5 linked regions of the Nothobranchius furzeri genome follow. The protein of the gene in region 4 purifies or fractionates together with the protein of the main gene of each other region. This does not show direct contact. Links are inferred from orthologs where the notes say so. Each region holds a gene or a part of one and is shown on either strand. Other genes may lie near its edges.

The links.
Region 1: the proteins of derl2 (region 4) and os9 purify together in Homo sapiens (affinity purification with western blotting; 3 studies listed by BioGRID, with this or other methods). This does not show direct contact. The link is inferred for Nothobranchius furzeri from reciprocal best matches to the Homo sapiens genes DERL2 and OS9.
Region 2: the proteins of derl2 (region 4) and amfra purify together in Homo sapiens (affinity purification with western blotting; 4 studies listed by BioGRID and IntAct, with this or other methods). This does not show direct contact. The link is inferred for Nothobranchius furzeri from reciprocal best matches to the Homo sapiens genes DERL2 and AMFR.
Region 3: the proteins of derl2 (region 4) and selenos purify together in Homo sapiens (affinity purification with western blotting; 3 studies listed by BioGRID and IntAct, with this or other methods). This does not show direct contact. The link is inferred for Nothobranchius furzeri from reciprocal best matches to the Homo sapiens genes DERL2 and SELENOS.
Region 5: the proteins of derl2 (region 4) and faf2 purify together in Homo sapiens (affinity purification with mass spectrometry; 5 studies listed by BioGRID and IntAct, counting the BioPlex papers as one, with this or other methods). This does not show direct contact. The link is inferred for Nothobranchius furzeri from reciprocal best matches to the Homo sapiens genes DERL2 and FAF2.

The regions. Positions count from the first base shown.
Region 1 is NC_091743.1:48,732,051-48,736,340, reverse strand, and holds the start of os9 (protein OS-9), read right to left. Parts: upstream 2,807-4,290; 5' UTR 2,756-2,806; coding exon 2,603-2,755; intron 2,266-2,602; coding exon 2,083-2,265; intron 1,617-2,082; coding exon 1,553-1,616; intron 756-1,552; coding exon 679-755; intron 1-678. UniProt on the Homo sapiens protein: Lectin component of the HRD1 complex, which functions in endoplasmic reticulum (ER) quality control and ER-associated degradation (ERAD).
Region 2 is NC_091749.1:54,415,032-54,418,546, reverse strand, and holds part of amfra (E3 ubiquitin-protein ligase AMFR), read right to left. Parts: intron 2,381-3,515; coding exon 2,248-2,380; intron 1,933-2,247; coding exon 1,799-1,932; intron 1,697-1,798; coding exon 1,586-1,696; intron 1,498-1,585; coding exon 1,301-1,497; intron 1,229-1,300; coding exon 1,125-1,228; intron 1-1,124. UniProt on the Homo sapiens protein: E3 ubiquitin-protein ligase that mediates the polyubiquitination of lysine and cysteine residues on target proteins, such as CD3D, CYP3A4, CFTR, INSIG1, SOAT2/ACAT2 and APOB for proteasomal degradation.
Region 3 is NC_091749.1:6,254,025-6,257,979, reverse strand, and holds the start of selenos (selenoprotein S), read right to left. Parts: upstream 2,809-3,955; 5' UTR 2,512-2,808; coding exon 2,436-2,511; intron 1-2,435. UniProt on the Homo sapiens protein: Involved in the degradation process of misfolded endoplasmic reticulum (ER) luminal proteins. Participates in the transfer of misfolded proteins from the ER to the cytosol, where they are destroyed by the proteasome in a ubiquitin-dependent manner.
Region 4 is NC_091746.1:70,401,917-70,406,169, reverse strand, and holds the start of derl2 (derlin-2), read left to right. Parts: upstream 1-1,446; 5' UTR 1,447-1,501; coding exon 1,502-1,636; intron 1,637-4,253.
Region 5 is NC_091742.1:44,986,926-44,990,046, forward strand, and holds the end of faf2 (FAS-associated factor 2), read right to left. Parts: intron 2,956-3,121; coding exon 2,864-2,955; intron 1,690-2,863; coding exon 1,512-1,689; intron 1,422-1,511; coding exon 1,250-1,421; intron 1,168-1,249; coding exon 1,024-1,167; intron 918-1,023; coding exon 735-917; 3' UTR 513-734; downstream 1-512. UniProt on the Homo sapiens protein: Plays an important role in endoplasmic reticulum-associated degradation (ERAD) that mediates ubiquitin-dependent degradation of misfolded endoplasmic reticulum proteins.

The sequences.
Region 1 (4,290 bases), on a different chromosome or scaffold from region 4:
TTAGCAATTGTAAAACTGCTATTTGGTTTTAATGTCACAAAACACACAGAAGCTAAGTAAAAAAAAAAAAAAAGAAGGAAAACTGAATGCATATCCTACAGTCATTTATCTCATAAAGAGGCAACTTTAAGAGCACATACAGATATTTCTGAGCATTTTCTGTCAACAGTGTTTGAAGAGGCCTACATTTAAAGGGAGATTGGGTGTTTTGGCTTGCTTTTAGCACCTGTAGTGTCTGTTTAGAAGAACCAAAAACAAAAGACATCTACTTAATGTGCATTCCTCTTTTTAACACCTTAATCAAACAGATGAAATGTCTCCCCAGCCTTCATTAATGTCTACAGGAGTGATCCAGCACTAAATTAAACAAATCAGCTGTGTTCGTGATCTAAAACATGCAGGAAACATGCTGAAAGCAGACTGCAACCCCAGGTTGGTCAGCTCCAGTGTTTTTTTTTTAAAGTCCAACAAACTGGACCGACACTCTAATGTTAAAAATGCGGTATTCTGGCCACAGAGTGTGATGGGGGTCTGAGTGAAATTTCATTAACCCTGTAAAGGGTCATTTTAGCACATATAGAAAATGATGTAAAAATATGAAAAAGTTGCCTAATATCCCTGGGTCTGTAGTTAGTTGTTTTATTTCTTAGTTTTTGTAGTTAATAAAGACAACTTTACCTTTGCCGTTTCATTGTTCCAGTCAAATTCAGACTCATAAAATCCCAGATAAAGAACACCCCCATTGATTTCTGTGTCTAAAAAAAAAGAACATCAGTCACAAACATGTCTTAAAAACATGCAGACGATAATCAGACCTGGAAAATGTATTTTTAGACTTATACAAGTTTGCAAAAATGTTATGTCAACATTTCTCCGTGTGTTAAAGACTTTTGAATCTTTAACTGTCAGAAGGTGCACAGCTACTATAAGTGTAAGAACACAAGTTTAACTTGTTTTTTTTTTCTAGAAATGCACAGATGAACGGTAAACAGAATCAGCTTTTAGTGGCTTGACTGATATACCAGGCACAATCCTGTCTCAGTGATCACACTAAAGACAAGCACAAACACAAACTAGCAGGATATTTTTACTGAGAGAGGAGGATTCACAGTTAGCTGTCTGTAAGATGTTTAAAAATAACATCAGAGAAAGTGTAAAAAACATTTTACTTAAGACACAGATTTTTTAAATAGACAGTAGCGTATAATCTACAGGTCAGGTTGACTGCAGTTCATATCCTAATGATGTGAATCCAGATGAGTTCCCAGATATTTTTGTCTTTTAATAAAACACAATGAAGTTAGTAAAAGTATTGGCTAAATTGCAGCATTACTGAAAACAACATGGTTATATGAAAGCAATTCTCTTGTTTCTTAGTTACATGCACATCCATCCATCCATTAGAAGACCTGGATAAAAACACAACACTCAAAAAGGTCTGATAAATATGTAAGTTTACAGCAGGCAAACTGCCCTTTGTATTTATAATTTGCCCACAATTTGTCATTAGAAAAATAAGTCAATTAAGAATGCTTAATCAGAATATTTTTACCTTCAAGGTGGTACTGTTGGATATGTTTACTATGGCAAAACTCATATGTCCACCAGTCTTTTGTCTGCAGGAAATAATGACAGCAAATTTCAAATGAGGTCATTTGCATAGTGCAGTCAACAGTTTGGCAACACCTGCATATTAAACAGGTGTGTGACAGGTGTCTCTCTCAAACATTTGACTGGTACTGATAGTTGGTCGATCTAGCTCATGCCACTTCTGATCTGAATCTTGGTCCACATAGTGAATTATGTAATCTCACATGAATGTAAACTAATAAAAAGTACACACGTCTTTAAAAAAATGTTTAAAAGCAGCTTGAGGGATCATAATCCAGAAAGTATTTGACGTTTTTTTGATTACACCTGCACAATGTTATAACTATGTAATTTGAAAAGAAACAATTGTTAATTGGTGACAGTATGTGTGATGAGGTCTGTACAGAGCTCTTAATCACTTAATTACATACGTATTTAATAAGCGAATTACATAAATAAGCATTGATTGACACCTGAAAAGTGAGAGAATACCTTTAGTAAACATGGAGATTTGTGCATAGGCTTGAGCAGGTCTGGGATGTCTGGGCCGGTGTAGGCCTGAGAGTCAGGCTCGGAGGCTGGGTCCTGGTGAAAGCGGACAGCCTGGGCTGGTAGTCGACATTCATAGAGCTGCTTGTATTTATTAGACACCATCATTACTTCCTCTGTCTTGGTCTGAAAAATAAACACTGTGATGAAACCCCAGTAATAATTAAAGGGAAGCTACACAGTATATTGGCAGTAGTTAATTGGTCAGGTGTTTTGTGTGTGTGTGTGTGTGTGTGTGTACATGTTGTCAAGACAGCTGTCACAGTTGTCGCTCATAAATTAACAATTTCTGTCTTCGCACGAATTGGCAAAATATCTTAACGTTTCTTGCTGAGCTTAAACAAACATGTTATTTGTATTTGTAATTAAATAACCTAAAGGAATTAATATATTTATCGCTAGCAAGCTGTAGCCTACATTATAGCTAACAAGCTACACGTTAGCATCTATAGCCCCCACTCACCTGCCCTAATATCACGGGGTCAGACAGAATTTGAATCCCGTATTTCATTTCGTTTAACTCTTCCAAATTCAAGAAGGCTGGAACACAGAGGGGGCATATCAACACAAAAAGGAACAGTCTCTTCAGCCACCGCAATAATAAGGAGGCAGCCATCGTTAACACTCTTCGTACACCAAGCGCTGTACAAGCATCAAAACACAGAACGCCTGACATGGTAGACGTTGATTGGTTAGTGTCAAAGTTGTTGCTCTACGATTGGTTGAATTTAATGTCAGTCACCAGTTTTTTTACTTCCAGTGTGTACTAGTTTCTTGTTACAGGGACGATTTAAACGGGCGACACAGGCACCGCTAACTAACGAACAACACCCGAACTGTCTGCTGACGCTTTACTTTACTATACATAAAATAAACGCACACGCATACTGATTTAGATCTGCATCATTGGTCTAATGAATGAGGCGTTTATTTTGTCTATAGTTTAAAAATTAATTATTATTACAGTATAAACTGAGTCTTATTTCCTGGAAGAAGCACACACAAAATGAATTAGCATAGACGCCCACTCACACAACATATCTTACTTTAAATTTTATTTTTAAAAGACGTTGATGTTTTTAAGAAATAACTCAATTGTTGTTACTTTTGTATCTTTAAGCACAAATCACATTTTGTGGGGTGCAGACTTCATTCTGGATCCCCGGTTGCTGTGCAGCCGCTGTTGCTGCAGGGGGAGTCTCTTCCACAGCGCGATGTGTTGCGATGTGCGGCCGCGTTTTTATTTGCCTCTGCTCCGCTTTTTTTCTTCTTCATCTAATTCCATTTGCAAGACTCTTGGGGAACGCATTCATTAAAAAGGGAGCGCTTGGTGAAGGAGGGAGGTGACACATCTTCACTGGGGTGAGCTGCATATTCCTGGGATTTTTCTATTTTAATAAGCTTCAGATTGGGAAAAAGGGCCTGTCCGTCTTTTACTTGGGATTTCCTGCTCTGTGTGAACATTGAGTAGCCTATTTGCTCATCTTCACATAAGAAAAAAAATGCTTTGGTCTTTATTACAGCAGGAATTCTCGATGAAAATGTCAAAACCAGGAGATGCGCGTTTATCTGGATGCATAGGTGCGTTCGGTTAATAATAGTCACGTTTTTATGGATGCGGCGTGTTTAAAGGTAGGCTAGTGGGCCCGTGTCGATTCTGGGGTTTCAGCTCTCTATTTGCTGAACAGAAGATTAGGAAATCCTCGTTTAACCAAGGGTGCTGTGCAGTGCGGAGGACGTCTGGGGCAGTGGCCCGGTATTTGAATGGACTCAAGCGATACAGCTATTCAGGTACGCGCTCGTTGGGAGGAAGGGAGGAACCGAGAAAGGACCTGGCAGGCTAGGCTCGTTTCTCCCTTGGATTTAAAAACAGCGACATGACAGTTTCTCCCGTCCGGTTTGGATTCGGTTTGAGAAGAAGACCATCTTTTATTATTAGGCTACTCAATATAAATGGTCGCTCGTGGATGTAAGAGGAGGGGTGGGACAGTGAGAAACAACATGCTGCAGATTGAAAACTGTTTGTGTGGTTTTGATTTGGATGGACTGAGAAATGAATGAATTAAAAGTCCTAAAGCATGTTCTCTGAGACAGACAGACAAGCATCATTTTGCTGATGTGGTTCACTGATATGGGAAATTATTTTCAATG
Region 2 (3,515 bases), on a different chromosome or scaffold from region 4:
GGATCGGAATTGGGAGGAAAAGATTTTAAACAACAATTATGATATTTTAAATTCATCTCAAAATAGAGATTTTCTATTGGAATAACAATGACTTGGTTTTAATTTCAACAAGTTCATCTGTATCAACATTATTTGTTTCTTGTATGAAAACAACACCATAAAGTCACAAGATTTTACGGCAGGCAGGGATTCAGACACCGAGGTGCAGCTGTTAGCAAGCAGGCTACTGCTTATTGTCCGTAATATGGTGGTATTTTAATCCAAACAGTGAAGGCAGTGTAACAGCCACTTGTAATGTCTGCATACTGGGCATTCACAGCCTTCAAACCTTTACTTTTGCATTTGGGTTTCCCTTCAGGCGTCAACAAAGCGACCTGTTTCCTTCCCAGTTCACAACAAACTCAGACAGCACAGAGCCAGCCCACAGGGAAATAAACAGGCTGCTGAATGTTGGGGTTTCTAAGTCTCCTGCAGGACCAAGCTGCTCGGTAGCTACAGGTGTTGTGCAGGAAAAGTTAGCCAGACGGCCAAGGCACCGCATGCCTGCCCCATCACGGGAACAAACATCTCTCAACACAGCTGCATATTGAGGGAGTAAACAACTTGAAATATGAGCAACGCTGCCACTTTTAAATATATTCATAATATAAACTCGCTTTTTAATCAATGCACTTCTTAAAAAAGTGAAAGTTAAAGGAAAACTCAGATGTTTTCTTTATTTCTTCTTATTTTAATGCTTTCCTGAGAAGTATCGGATCAGGACTCGGTATCGGCAGACACTCAAAATTAAATGACTCGGACTCAGGTCGGGACCAAAACAGCGTGATCGGAACATCCCTAATGATTAAATAAATACTTGTGGGTTTTATTCAATCCCAGATTACAGCAGATTCCTAACTTGAAAGTGTCTAACGTGGGGTTTAATGAACTTCATCAGGTGTATTTGATGGAGGCTTTGATGCTGACACTTCTTTTATTACAAAAATACAATCCATTTATTGTAAAAATATTCTAAAAAACAAATGACTTATTAACTAAAAAAGGACTAAGAAAAGAACACAACTTCAGTCAGGATCTCTGTGTGATCTCACATGAAACCACAGAGGGAGTAAACGTGGTCCTACCATAGCTGTGAGCTGAGAGTTGTTGGCCTGCGTGATGCCCAAAATATTAGTGGTGTGCATCACTTCCACTGAAAAACTGGGCAGCCAGCTGGCAATACGGGATCCTGTAAGAATAAATAAACATCACAACCCATCAGAGACGTGTCGGGTCGCGGTTAGGGGTTTGGGTGACTTACCATCGAAGTGGAAGAAGTGATTGTGATGGTTGATGTGTGGTCTCCCCTCCAGAGCAGCACCAGCAGGACCGACGTTATCCTCCATAGCACCACCCTGCGGCTGACCTCTCACCTGAACCCCGTCCCCATTGATGTTTAGCGAAGTTCGACATGTGGGACACGACGTATCTTGCTCAAGCCAGGAGCGCAAGCAAGAGCTACAAAATCACATGGATGCATACCGTTTCTAATAGGCAGCTTTTACTTTGTTTTACAGAAGCTACCAAAAAGGAAGCGCTTGTTTACTTGTGAAAGAGATGACCGCATGGAAGTTTTCGTGCCGTAAGCATGGCGTCCCAGCAGATGGCGCAGTCATCGTTATTGGCTGCCAGCTCGTCTGGAGTAGCAGCAGCAAACCTGCACACATTTAGAACAAGAATCAATGGCACCCACAAGGACTCAAAAGCACACATAATAACAATGGTATTACTACATTTTTGTACACGTATGTATTATTACCTGGCCTCCATGTTGTTAATGACTCGTAGGTAGTTCTTGTGTCTGCGGATGCGGCGCTGGACCTCATAGAATAGGTAGCGCAGCTGCATAAAGATGACCAAGCTCGCCATGGAAAGCCAGATGTTTCCAAAAAGCTGAAAGTAACATATTTGGAGAGGAAAATAAACTGTGTAAATATTCTAAATAAAGACGTAGATCTCAGATACTCTGGCTAAGCTCACTGAGCCGAGTCTCCTCTCTTCTACTCCCAAATGCCTCTTCAAATAATCCTTCACATTTGATCAAAACACTGACAAGTGCACATGTAAACCATTCAATTTTTTTTCTAATAATTCTATGTGTGTGTGTGTGTGTGTATACAGATAATCTGAGTTCTATAACAAAACGCTTTAAAAAAAACATGAATGTAAAAAGATGTCCCAGAATAAGGAAACAGCTTTAGATCTTACAAGCATGTGGATGTGGTGCATAAGATCCAGAAACAGCATAGACAGCTCCATGATGAAGTCTGTGTAATACACATATGTGCCTTTGCTTTCCCAAGTTCCTGGATGGTTCAGATCCCACAGATGGATGGAGTACCTGAGGAGTAACACACATACAAAGAAGCATGCATGCAAGCACCTTTATCTTGTGAATACAAGTGATACACAGTTTGGTGTGTGAGGATGCTGGCATTTAAAGATTGAAGTCCCATTAGTCATCACACACCGGCAAAATTTGTTTTCCGCATTGGACCTATCCCTTGGGGGAGTCGTGAGCTGCAGGCATGGCCGTGCTCAGAAATATTTTGTGGTTTAACCTCCAAATTGATCCCCTTAAAGTATCTTTCCGGAGTTTTACCCTTTCAGAAATCATGTATGCTTTTTCAGAACTCCGTAAAAGTGATCATCTTATCATGTACTGTGATTAGGGCTGCAACAACGAATCGATAAAAATCGATTATTAAAAGTGTTGGCAACGAATTGCGTCATCGATTCGTTGTGTCGGACAACTCTTCCAAGTCTTCAATTTTTTTTGTTTTATTTGGTATTTTTTAGTCATTTTTGGAAATAGTGATTAATTTTGATGAATTCACAGCCTATGTTTAATTACATTTAAAAATTAGTCATTTGACATCCCCAATTATAATAAATGTCTACAGATGAGATCAAATAAGACAGATGAGAATTGCCCTTAAGCTGTTTAACTTGGACGAAGCATTTTAGGTCACAGAATGTAGCTTAGGGTCTCTGTCTATACACCTTAAGGGCTCGACACACGGGAGGCGGCATCGCCTCTCCTCCATTCATTTTCAGTGAGACATGCGCGACTAAGCGATAATCGCGGGTCTCCCTCCTACTCAGCGAAACGCGAAAGACGTGCAAGTGAAATTTTGCGCTCGTGCACGTGTCGTGCACAGGCGACCCAGCGACGCAATCCCAGAAAGTTGAAACATTTTCAACTTTTCATTGCTGTCGCTCGGACGAGGACCAATCAACGGAGGTTTCATTCACTGACCAATGAGCGGACAGGATGCTCCGTACATCTCCGAGCAAACATGACGGAGAAGTTGATTATTATTATGTTTTATATAGTAAAATCAGCAGTAAGATTTCACATAACTCTAGCAGCACCTTGTGAAACATCATATCTACCACTTTATTAACTCTGAACCGCTTAAATAACCTTAATTCCCTCCAACCTGACACAGCCAAATAAAACAACGGAAGTTTCA
Region 3 (3,955 bases), on a different chromosome or scaffold from region 4:
TATGGGCATATTTTGGATTTCTGAAAAATGCTGAGGGACAGTTAATAGAAGACGGCTATCCCGTTTGCGGAACGTGCAGAAGCAGGTGTCTGCAAAAGGCAGCAACACTTCGAATCTAATGGCACATCTGCGTGACCATCGCCCACGTCTCTACAGCCAGTGCAAGGTAAGTTAACATTAGCATTTTAGCTTAAATGCATGATGTGAGGACTTTTGGCTGAGGGAGAATGCAACGAGTCACCATATACTGCAGCCGCAGCGCCCTCTGCCAGCATTTAAACCGTGTCACGGACACCCTGTTGCTGGATGAAGCATCTCATTTGTTGATGATGAAGAGAAATATACAATTAGTTCCTTGTCATTGATTTGTTTACTTATTCAATGCCATTTATACTTGAACATTTGGATTTGATTACATAGTGTAGTAGTTATTTTAGTAATTTGTTTAAAGTGGCTATTTATTTTAAATACATATTTTTTAAGGTTGACTTGTACAGTGCTCAAGTCAAGTGTGGACTGGAGTTTTAGATTTTCATTTTGATAATGAAGAAAACAAGTATATGAGAAAACAAGTGGTGTTTCTTTGATTTGTTTACATATTGTTTATGTTTTGAATGTTTGGATTTGTATAATTTAAACCTGCACTGACTACTGTAACATGTTCCAGAAAAAGAAGCTATTTGTTCCTTTACTTGTGAAAAGTTGCACTTTTGCTAAGGCTTTGTGTTATTTTAGGTTTAATAAACACTGTTAAACCTTTTCAGAACTATTTCAGTTTGTGTAGAACAGGACTATCAATGCTTTCTGAACATATGCAACACCGTTTAAAAAATACTGCGATAATACCGAAAACCGTGATAATTTTGGTCACAATAACCGTGAGGTTAAATTTTCATACCGTGACAACCCTAATTTGGTTTTTTTCTCCCCAAAGTGATATTTGCAAACATTGGAGGTGTTGAATTTCTCCTTAAGTGTGACTTTGAAATATCAAAATTACCAGTCAATCTATCAAATTTTCATGAACAGGCCCTTCAGTACTGGAAGCTGATATATCAGCACAATTGTTCCCCTCACACAACATCAATCTGGAATAATAGGAGCATCTTAATTCATAGAAAATCTGTTTTCTATCAGGATTGGATGGATCGTGGAGTTTGGACAGTTTACTATCTATTAGATGGTGATGGGAATCCTTCATCATACAATGATTTCACTGAAAGATATGACATTATTTGTTCTAGACAAAAACTCGCCAAGCTTATGAAAGCCATTCCCCCACCAGTGATTCAGATGGCTAAAGCCAGCCTAGCTTATTCCAATTGTATCCTTAGAGAGCCATCTTTAATAACTGAAGGATGTCCTTTTAAGGGAAAGGCATGTAACAACATATTTTTAAGAACGACTCTCACCAAACAATATTTTCCATCACAACTCAAACGAAAACACCTACTTAGAGGCTCTAATTCCAGCTTTTTGATTCAATACATTTCCTTCCCAATTCCACCTAAAGCAAAAGAAAACCACTCCTAAATTTTGCATGCCATTTATCCATCAAATGATTGTTTACACAAGAAGTTCAACATCGACATAAATGCATGCGTCTTTCTGCACTAATGATGTTGAAACAGCAGAGCACCTTTTCCATTGGTGTGATGGATAATACTAATGTTTTTGTTAGCTTTTCAGCACTGGATAATGCAAATATATATATATACACTTCCCCCTGTTAACATTTTAAACTATTTGATTTGGTTTACAAACAGTTAATAAAACTTTACAATTTGGGATTAACAATTTGATTATATTGGCTAAATAGTTTATCCATAAGTGCCGTTACTTGAAAACCTCTCGCTGCTTTAAAAAACGAAGTACTTCTTTTGAAAGAATCATTAAAACATTGCAAATTAGACAAAACACATATCCTATTTGACCTTTTGAAACTGCTTTATGAATAATGTTAAAGTTTACAAATACGTAACAATACTTAAATGTGTTCTTGTTATCAATTTCTCCTTCCCTTTTCCTTCTGTTCATTGACATGGTCTGATACACTTTGTACTTTTTCTCTATTTGATGACTGATAAGTTCTTATCCTTTATACATAAATTTTATTACTAAAGGTTTGTTTACGCTGTATTGTCATAATTTCATAATAAAAAAACTGTTGGGATGTTGGTTGAAGCAGGAATGTGAGCCGTGCTTAGAAACTAGGAGGAAGAAAAAATCAAGACACGCCTTCTTCATTCGTAACAAACACATCCGAACATAAAGTGACAAACCTAAATTCTTTAATTCATCTCCAACAACAACTCGTTTTCATGAATCACGCGGAAGAAACCCGAGTTAATAGTGCGAGTATGACTTAAAGTAGCTTCTAGCCATTTTCTGCGACGCCCGTTCTCGCGACAGACTGGTTCCGACACGTCACCTACCTAAGATGCTCAGAAAAGGCAGGTCCTGGTTCTCCGGGGGACGGTTTTGACCAGATGAGTCACGCACACTGTCCATCGCTGAGCCCAGCACGACGAGCGGACCAAAACTTAGGAAGCTACGGACTTCTGGAAGCTTCCTCTGTCACAGCCGCTTCTGCACACTTATCGCGAGATCTTCTTCTTCTTCGTGTTTTCTGGCGGGTGGCATCTGACTGCTAGGTGCATTTCCGCCACCTACTGTGCTGGAGTGTGAGTCGGAGTAAGAACGTAAAAATAAAAATAAAAAAAATAATTCTATTCAACAGACCACTGTGTTTTAGAAACTCAATAACCAACTTATATTTCCTTCCTTCACCATTTAACAAATTTTTTACATTTATCACTCCACCTCCTATGTTTTTTAGTTTCTCCCTGAGTTGTCCTCTACTTTCCTCATATTTTATGCAGTCACTTAAAACATGTTCCACTGTTTCTCCCCCCACCCCACATCCACACAAACCTGTGGGATGTTTCCCTTATCAGATGCATCGTATTATTAAGCCCAGTATGTCCCATTCTTAATCTTGATATTATTCTTTCATCTCTACTATTCATTCTTATATTTTTCCATTTTCCTACTTTCCCTTGTATCTGAAACAAATGTCTTCCTTTCTGTCGCCTTTCCCACATTCTTTGCCACTCGTCCATTATATGTGCTTTAATGATAGATTTAATTTCAGCGGCACTATATGCATTTCCTTCTACTCCTTTATGTGCTGGTACCCATAAAAATTTAACTTCCGCACCCAATTTCCTTAATCTAAATATGGTCTCATAATCTCATATAATAAAGCTATTCGACTCTTGGTAGACATACATTTAACTGACACTAATACAGATAACAAATCAGTACATATAATTCCTTTTTTAATTCTATTTTGTTCCATCCATTGAAGACTAAATAAGATAGCTATCATCTCCACTGTGTACACAGATAAATGATCTGGAGTTCTTTCCCTAACTACTACTCCTATATGTGGTATTACTGTTGTGTGGTGGGGTGAGTACTCCTCATCTCTATAACATCTTTGAGCTCTTCATTTCAGGAGAGGGAGCTCACCAGCTGCAGGGTATTAGCAATCAGTGGCAGCTGCAGCTTCTCAGGTCATCCGCAGCAGAGCTCTATTTAAGAGGAGAGGGAACCACTACACAGTGCTGGATGATTAACTACTCATGGTAGTATTTTGGCCACTCGTTCTAGGTTGCTTGGTTTTTAAGTAGATAATTGGCTTGGAGAATTTCTTGGATTATTCTTGGACTCTTGTGTTGGATTTTTGGACTCAAGTTTTGTATCCTCTCTCCAGGATTACTGGACAATCTTCCCTGACGCTCTGGGTTTGTTGGATATTATCCTCTATCCAAGAAGCAGAACCTTACTGGATTACTCACCTGGAAAGAACCATACCTTCCTGGACTTCGCGGTTCGCCTCTCCTCTTATGGGCTCGACACACGGGAGGCGACATCGCCTCTCCTCCATTCA
Region 4 (4,253 bases):
AAAGCCTTCTCTTTGAATAACAAAAGTAACTTCCAGCTCAGCCAGCAGCGTCCCCAGCACCACGATGACAAGAAGCTAGCTTATTTCTCCGCCACAAACGCGCTTCGGCTCTCTACTGCCCCCCGGCGGCCTGGAGGAGCGCGGAGGTACAGTGGGGTAGGGGGGACACAGATGGGGATGGCCTCTCCTACAGCAAGCTCGTTGCTAGTAAACATTATAATAAGTGAGACCAGGTTGACAGGTCAGCTGTAAGCGCCTCGTGATTTTTATCTTGAGAGGCGCTATAGAAATGAAATTTTCTTCTTCTTCTTCTAATCAAATATCTCTTTAAGCGCTTTTTGAGCAGGGAAGGAGCCAAAATATTTTTTGGAGGGGGGGCACAAGGGGTACAAACAATGAACCATGTTCGTTTAATCTATTATTCATTTGATCGTTTATTATTCAACCATAGTAAATCATTGCTGTGTTGTGAGGTGAAACAGCACGATTGCAGAGGAAAAACTTGGAAAATTGGTTAAATTCACTGTTTTCCTGCTTGGAGGCATAACCACGGAGACCAAATATCTGACATAACAAAATCTCGTTGGCTCGCTCTGTGTGTGTGTGTTTGTGTGTGTGTGTGTGTGCGTGTGTGTGTGTGTGTGTGGTTGTATGTGTTAGTGTTAGCACTGTGGCTGTAGCCACCGTGAGGGTTGGCAGCCCAGATGACGAAATTAAGGTGTGGATAACAATCTCTGAATAGGGAGCCTAAGCCACGCCCATCTACTTCCGCACCACGGGTCCACAGAAAAACGAAAAATGAACACAAGTTAACGGGGATAAAAACTTTTTTTTTTTTCCAATTCCGCTTGTTTTGTGCAATGGATTTCACATGATGTCCGTGAAATCTAAAGACATTTTGATACCAAGAACTTGCTTATTTCCGAACAGGGAGAATTGTTATTTTAGATTTTGTGTGAAAACAAGTCCAGGACTACAAATGTGCTTCATAAAAATGACATCATCAAACCAGACACGGAGAAAAACAGAGGGAAAATGGCTGTAAGTTCAACGTACTTATCCTTCTTTCAGGAGGAAAAAAAACCCACAGTAAATCTGGTCATGTGGTGAGTAGCAGCTATGCTAGGGGAGAGGAGCTTATGTGGTGACATTACATATGCGACGTGCTGATTTCTGTTTTGTAGTCATGCTAATTACGAACTTTTACAAGCTGATTAATCTCAAAGTACGTGACCGGCGTGGTCGAAGCACCCACCATTAGTTTTCATTTAAATAGAAGTACAACATATGTGAGATCCAGGGTCAAAGGCAATGAGAATTAGAAAATAGCTCTTTTAGCTCAGGGGTCCCATGAGCCGACCGGAAGGGGAGGAGACTTAAGGCTCCCTGTGTGAAAGCCTCTCAGAGGTGGACGTGGTTCGTTTCGGGGGTATCTCCAGATTGATGTAAGAGGTGATGGATTTTCCAACGCTCCTGAACGCCTCTCTAGTCGCTCTGGGGAATGACGTGTCAGAAAGACCCGGAAGTTGTCATTCTGTCCAAAATGGCTTACCAGACTTTACAGCAGCAATATTTACAGATTCCTCCTGTTACCAGAGCTTACACGACGGCCTGCGTCCTCACCACCGCGGCAGTGGTAAGACCAACCCAACCGAACCTCTCCTTCTTCTCGCTCTCGCGGAAGCTCAGTTCTGTCCTACGAACAGAACCTCCGGCTGCGGTTCTGGAGGAGATTCGTGCCTGAAACTGATGGATCGAGAAGTCCGTTGCTTTCTAGAGCAAACGGAACCGATTTCAGCTCAGAACCGGGACCGAACACAAAGAGCTTTTCATCTGGTTCCTCTGGTTCTGATTCTGGGTCGTGCAGCTGCGGGTAGAATCTACCGGTTCGTTACGTCACAGACTCCTCTGAACACCTGGACTTCAGGCACCAGATCCAACCTGAACCGGAGCAGCCTGAGATGATCTGCTGGTGTTCAGGTTCTGGTTCCGAGGACCGGTACCAAATTTGCTCAAAGAAAGCAACAGTAATGATTTTTTTCTGATAGACGTTTAAATTCTTAGTTTAAAAGTGATGTTAATGATGGTGCGTTCAGGGACCTATAATAACAGGTTAAAGCGAGCATGTCTGGTTCTGGTCACTAACCGCTGCACCTGTAAAGGACAGCTGTATAAAACCCTGATTCATCTCACTATTGTTCACTTTTAGAGAAATAAAACCTTTTGAGTTTTGAAAACTTCTGAAGTTTCCGTCCATCCATCAGATCTTTACCTGTGGAGTCTCAAAATCAGGCCATTTTGTGACGTTCCTGTGTGAATGGATGAATGATTCACTGTAAGGTAAAGAGCTTTGGGAGTCCTCTGACTCAGAAAGGTGTTCAAGTGCAGATTGTTTATTAAGCAGCCGCTAACTAGTGGCCAATGTCACCCAGACAACCCCTCTTCTCCGTTGCTGCTGCTGAGTGGAGGTCTTACTCGTACAACACTGGAGTCCCAAAGTGTTTGATAGAGCCTGAAACTGAAACAGGTTTCAGCTGCAGGACATTTCTGAAACAAGGAAGTGAAAATAAGGTTTTAGTTCTTAAGGTTAGAAGCTAGAATTTAGTGCATCAGTCATTCATCCATTCACACGTTCACCCACTTGTGGTGATGAGCCACAGCTGCTCTGGGGCACACTGACAGAAGGTAGGCTGCCGTACACAGTCCCTCCAACCACCATCGTAAGGAGGATGAAGTTTCCATCCCAAGGACACAACTGACATGACTAGAAGCCTGGATTTGAACCTGTAACCCTCCGATTACAGAGCAGACTCCTAACCCCTGAGCCACCGTCGCCCTGAAACCTGAACTCCTCCAGATCTTCTTTCATCATAACAATTGGACCAAAACCCAGAACCAGACAAGACCTGAATCCCTCCTGTCAGGTACAGAGTGCAGTCAGTGTGGTCTGGCCCCGCCCCCTCAACATGAATGAAAATTCACAATTTTAACACCTTTTAATTTCTCGTTATGGCAGTAGCTTAGACATTACGGCAGTAGCTTAGACGTTACGGCAGTAGCTTAGACGTTACGCCAGTAGCTTAGACGTTACGGCAGTAGCTTAGACGTTACGGCTAGGGCTGCAACAACGAATCGATAAATTCGATGAAAATCGATTACTAAAAGCGTTGGCAACGAATTGCGTCATCGATTCGTTGTGTCGCACAACTCTTCCAAAAGCGCCCCCCCTTCCCGCCCGCCGTTGCGCACAGACCAAAGCAAGTCAGATCAGCGCGAGGGAGAGCCGCAGATCAGCGCGAGAGAGAGCCTGCAGACTTGCGCTGCTGCGAACCGGTTCCGCATTGTTGCGCAGCGATCCAGGCAGCTGCTTCCAGCGCACGGTCCATTCTCAAAGTGGCGCAACCAAAAAACTATAATTAGCACACGATCGTTCTTGTCTGCACATGTTCTCTATTTTCTGTCTTATTTGTGCCTGAAGCGCGCTACTGCGGAGCTCATCACCTGTGCTGTGGTGATGTCACCTCACGCAGCATCGAAAACGCGCTCTGCGCTTTGCGGTCAGGAGATCTCTTTGATCTGCTCAAAAGTAACTGATGAGGTGAAAAGGTAAGAATCCAGGCAACAGTTTTTCTGGAGAATTATGAGGAGATGCAGGAAGATGAGAGACAGACAGGACAGGAAAATAGTTAAATAAAAACAAGAAAACAAAGTAAAATGTAGGTAGATTTATCTCCACTACACGTTTTTACCAGTAAAAAACAATAAGTTATACACATGTCATATTTATACATCTGATACAATTCAGATCACCTTCAAAACTCAGTCACACACCCAGGGCCGTTTCAAGACATTTTGGGGGCCAAGGCAAAATGCCCCCCCCCCTCCATAACTGGGCTCCCCAGAAGCCTCTGTGTAATCCATACCCTCTCCAGGAGTGTTAGTAAAATCCCCTCAGACATTACTGACATGTTCTAATATTATCAGATGAAAAACTAAATTATCAGACATGCTGTCTCATCTGCTTCTTTTCTAAACTTGCAAAAAGTAACAAAACCATTTGAAAGCCACTATTTGTGGATTCTCTGAAAGTTTCCATGGAGTGTGTGACAACTTATTTTATCATTGATCCTATCGTCTAATCTCACAGCTGAAACAAGCATCCTTAATAATCTGTGCACAGGAAGCTTACCGATGCTGTAGTAAAACACAAGGTAGTTTCTTATTAATAAAACCTTGTTGCAGCACTAAAGCAT
Region 5 (3,121 bases), on a different chromosome or scaffold from region 4:
TCAGATATTACAGGCAAAACAGGCATCTATGAGTAACCACAGGCACACTATGGGCAGACTAAACTACATAGAGCCACATGTAAAAGCTGTGGCCTTCGTTAAATATTGTACGTTTTAACTTCATGAGCTGGAGGCAGTCTGCTTTACATAGTAACAAACCTGCATTTGGTCGTTTCATGACGAGTCAAATAAAAACAATAGTGGGCATTTAAATATTTAACTTATGTACAAGTGATGGCTCATTTAAACAGGGTTCCCATCCTTTCAACTCTCGATCACAGCTGCTTCAGACTTGGACCGTGCTAGTTGTGCTTGATAATCGCTGTAGGGGTTGTGGGCTAAAGCATGAACCAAGAGAAACAGCAGGGAACTCCCCTCGAGTAACTAACAACCAGTCTTCCTCGGTTGTGACAGCTTGTGTGGGACGAGGAGGTTGTGCTGCAGCTTTAGTCTCACTGCTGGGAGGAGGATAACTGTTAGCTAACACCAACAACAGTTTCTCCACACAAGGAACCACTTCAAGAAATATTTATTTGATAAAATTCAAGACTGCAGGCTAATGGGAACCCTGTCAACACAAGTGAAGGAGCACTGGATGCAGGGTGGTTTAGTGATCCAGGTTAGTTTCTATAGCAACCATCCCTTCTGTAAAACGGCCATTTACCAAAACAAACCAAACAACATGGGTGGGTCAGAGATAAACGTGTCTCCATGTAGACGAGGTAAGTCATCTATTAGTCGTCCGTGAGGTCCTGAACAAAAACGACCTCGGAGCGACTGAGTCCTGCCTCCTTCAGCGTGGGGGGGTTGGGCTGCTCTGCAGTCGGAAGGCAGGGCAAGACTCGGCGAGGGAAGTTTGTCACGATCTGAAACTTCTCTGGAGTTTCCTTCAAAGAGAAAAGGAAGTCGTAGATTACCTGTGGAAGGAAGAAGAAACATGTAGATGTTTCATCACATGTCAGCGTCTAATAACCAAACATTGACCAGAGGCGTGTGAAGGAGACCAAAGACACCAGCGCTCACCGTCAGAGACTGAGCGAACAGGAACCGCCTCTCTACTCGTGTGTCGTTGGGCAACTTGAACACTATTTTAACACTTTCTGGATCATCAGCAGATGGTTCTGGAGGAAGGCACTCCGACTTCCTCTCCTTCTCCTCTTCTAGTGTCTGGAGTGAAAACAACAACAGGAATCAGACATGTAGGGGAAGACCAACGTATCCATGTACAAACGAAGACGACCAGACTCACTCTTCGTCTCCTCTCCTCTGCAAGAGCACTCTGTCGGACCTTTTCCTCCTCTTGCTTCTTCTGCTCCAGCTCCTCCCTTTTCTTCCTCTCCTTCTCCTGGTCGGCGCGTAAGGAGGCCAGGTAGGCCTCATCCTGCTGCTGCCTCAGCACCTGGGTCTGGTTCCTCTCCTCTCTGGAAACAACACTTCAGTCTTCACTCGCTGCTACTTCAGCTGTAGAGAATGTGACGACGGTCTCACTAACTCCAGCTGGTCTGACGTACCGCTCAAGGCGCTCTGACATCAGGTATGTCTGGTTGGCATCCATGATGAAGGTGACCTGATTGATGAGCTCCTCAGGCTGAATCAGACCCTCGAGCCGACCCACCACGGTCATCTTCCGGTCCTTTAGCATGATCATGGCCAGGAATGGGTAGGTGTTCTCCCGCAACGCTTGGGACACTTGGTATAGAAACCATTGTTACACAAAAGCCCAGTGGACTACCATTATTACCACGCTTCTGCACGGATCTTAATGTTTTTGTAGCCACTCAAGCTAACAGAAGAGTCCCTGTAGGACAGAAAAGCAGCACTAGCTTCTAGCTTTGGGGACTCCACATGGGTCTGAACTAGGGCTGGGCGGCATGGCCTACAACTAATATCACGACATATAGAGGATTTCACCTCGCTAGCGATGAACAGACTAGAACTACAGGTGTGTGCAGGAACAACAGTTGTCCACTAGATGTCACGTGTTCCAGGTTGAGTCACACTGGTATGCCACTGAAGGTGGTGCAGCTTCTTACAGGACATGAATGTTGCCAGCTCACACACATATTTCATGTTCTCATCTCATTCCTGAGACGGGAACAATTATCTCGGTAAGAGTGGATTTATTGCCCAGCCCTGGTCTCAACATGTTGTTTACCAGTGATATCAGAGTGTTTGTTGTTTTCAGAGCAGCCAGACTTACCCCAGGTTTCCACGGGAGCCGTCAGCAGCACGTTACTGCAGCAGCACGTCTAGCTGCTGCTTGGCCCTTCCCACGAGACGCGACGCAGCAGAGGAGCAGCTGTCACCGACAGGGCACGAAGTCACACGAGTGACTTCGTCAGTAAACACAACAACAAGCAGGAGAAAACTACAACATGGCTCCAAAATGTTTGTGTTTTTATATTCTGTCCGTTTTATAATCGCCGATACGGACCTGAAAAACAAAGGAGACCGCTAGCTAGGTGATAACTTCTCACGGGGCCGCACAGTTAGTAACCTTTTTTAAAGTAAAGCGACCGGAAGGCAGTACGTTCTTTATTCTGAAAATTTCGGGAGCTTCTCTCCATTTCCGCGTCCGATTTCCTGTCTTTCCTTCCCCAAAAATGTCGAACTTGACCCGTTTCAGAGGCGTCGCGCGTAGGAAATAGAACCGGCGCGTAAAGGCCGCGACATGCTGCTCCTGAGACGCGGCCGACTCGTGCTGCTGACAGCTGCTGACGGCTCCTGTGGAAAAGGTTCTGTTGACCACAGCCGTTCCTATCAGCAGCTATGACGTGCTGCTGCAGTAACGTGCTGCTGACGGCTGCTGTGGAAAGCCGGGGTCACACTGATAACAGATGAACGAATGAACGGGCATACACACCTCGGTAGCCCTCGGGCTTGCTGGTGGAACATGCCCAGAAGAGCATCCGTGTGTTGAGGAAGGTTATGACCTCTTCTGTACATAACGTGGAGCTGAGGAGCCACAGATCAGAGGAAAGGATGAATATGTTCACCTCATCTAACAGTTAAGGTGTGGTTCACTCATTAATCAGTGCATCTGCAGAGGTCTCTAGCAGGAATGAAGGCCTCGTACGTCACACTCTGTTTCAGAATCTAGAGAATGACCAGATCAGAGAAC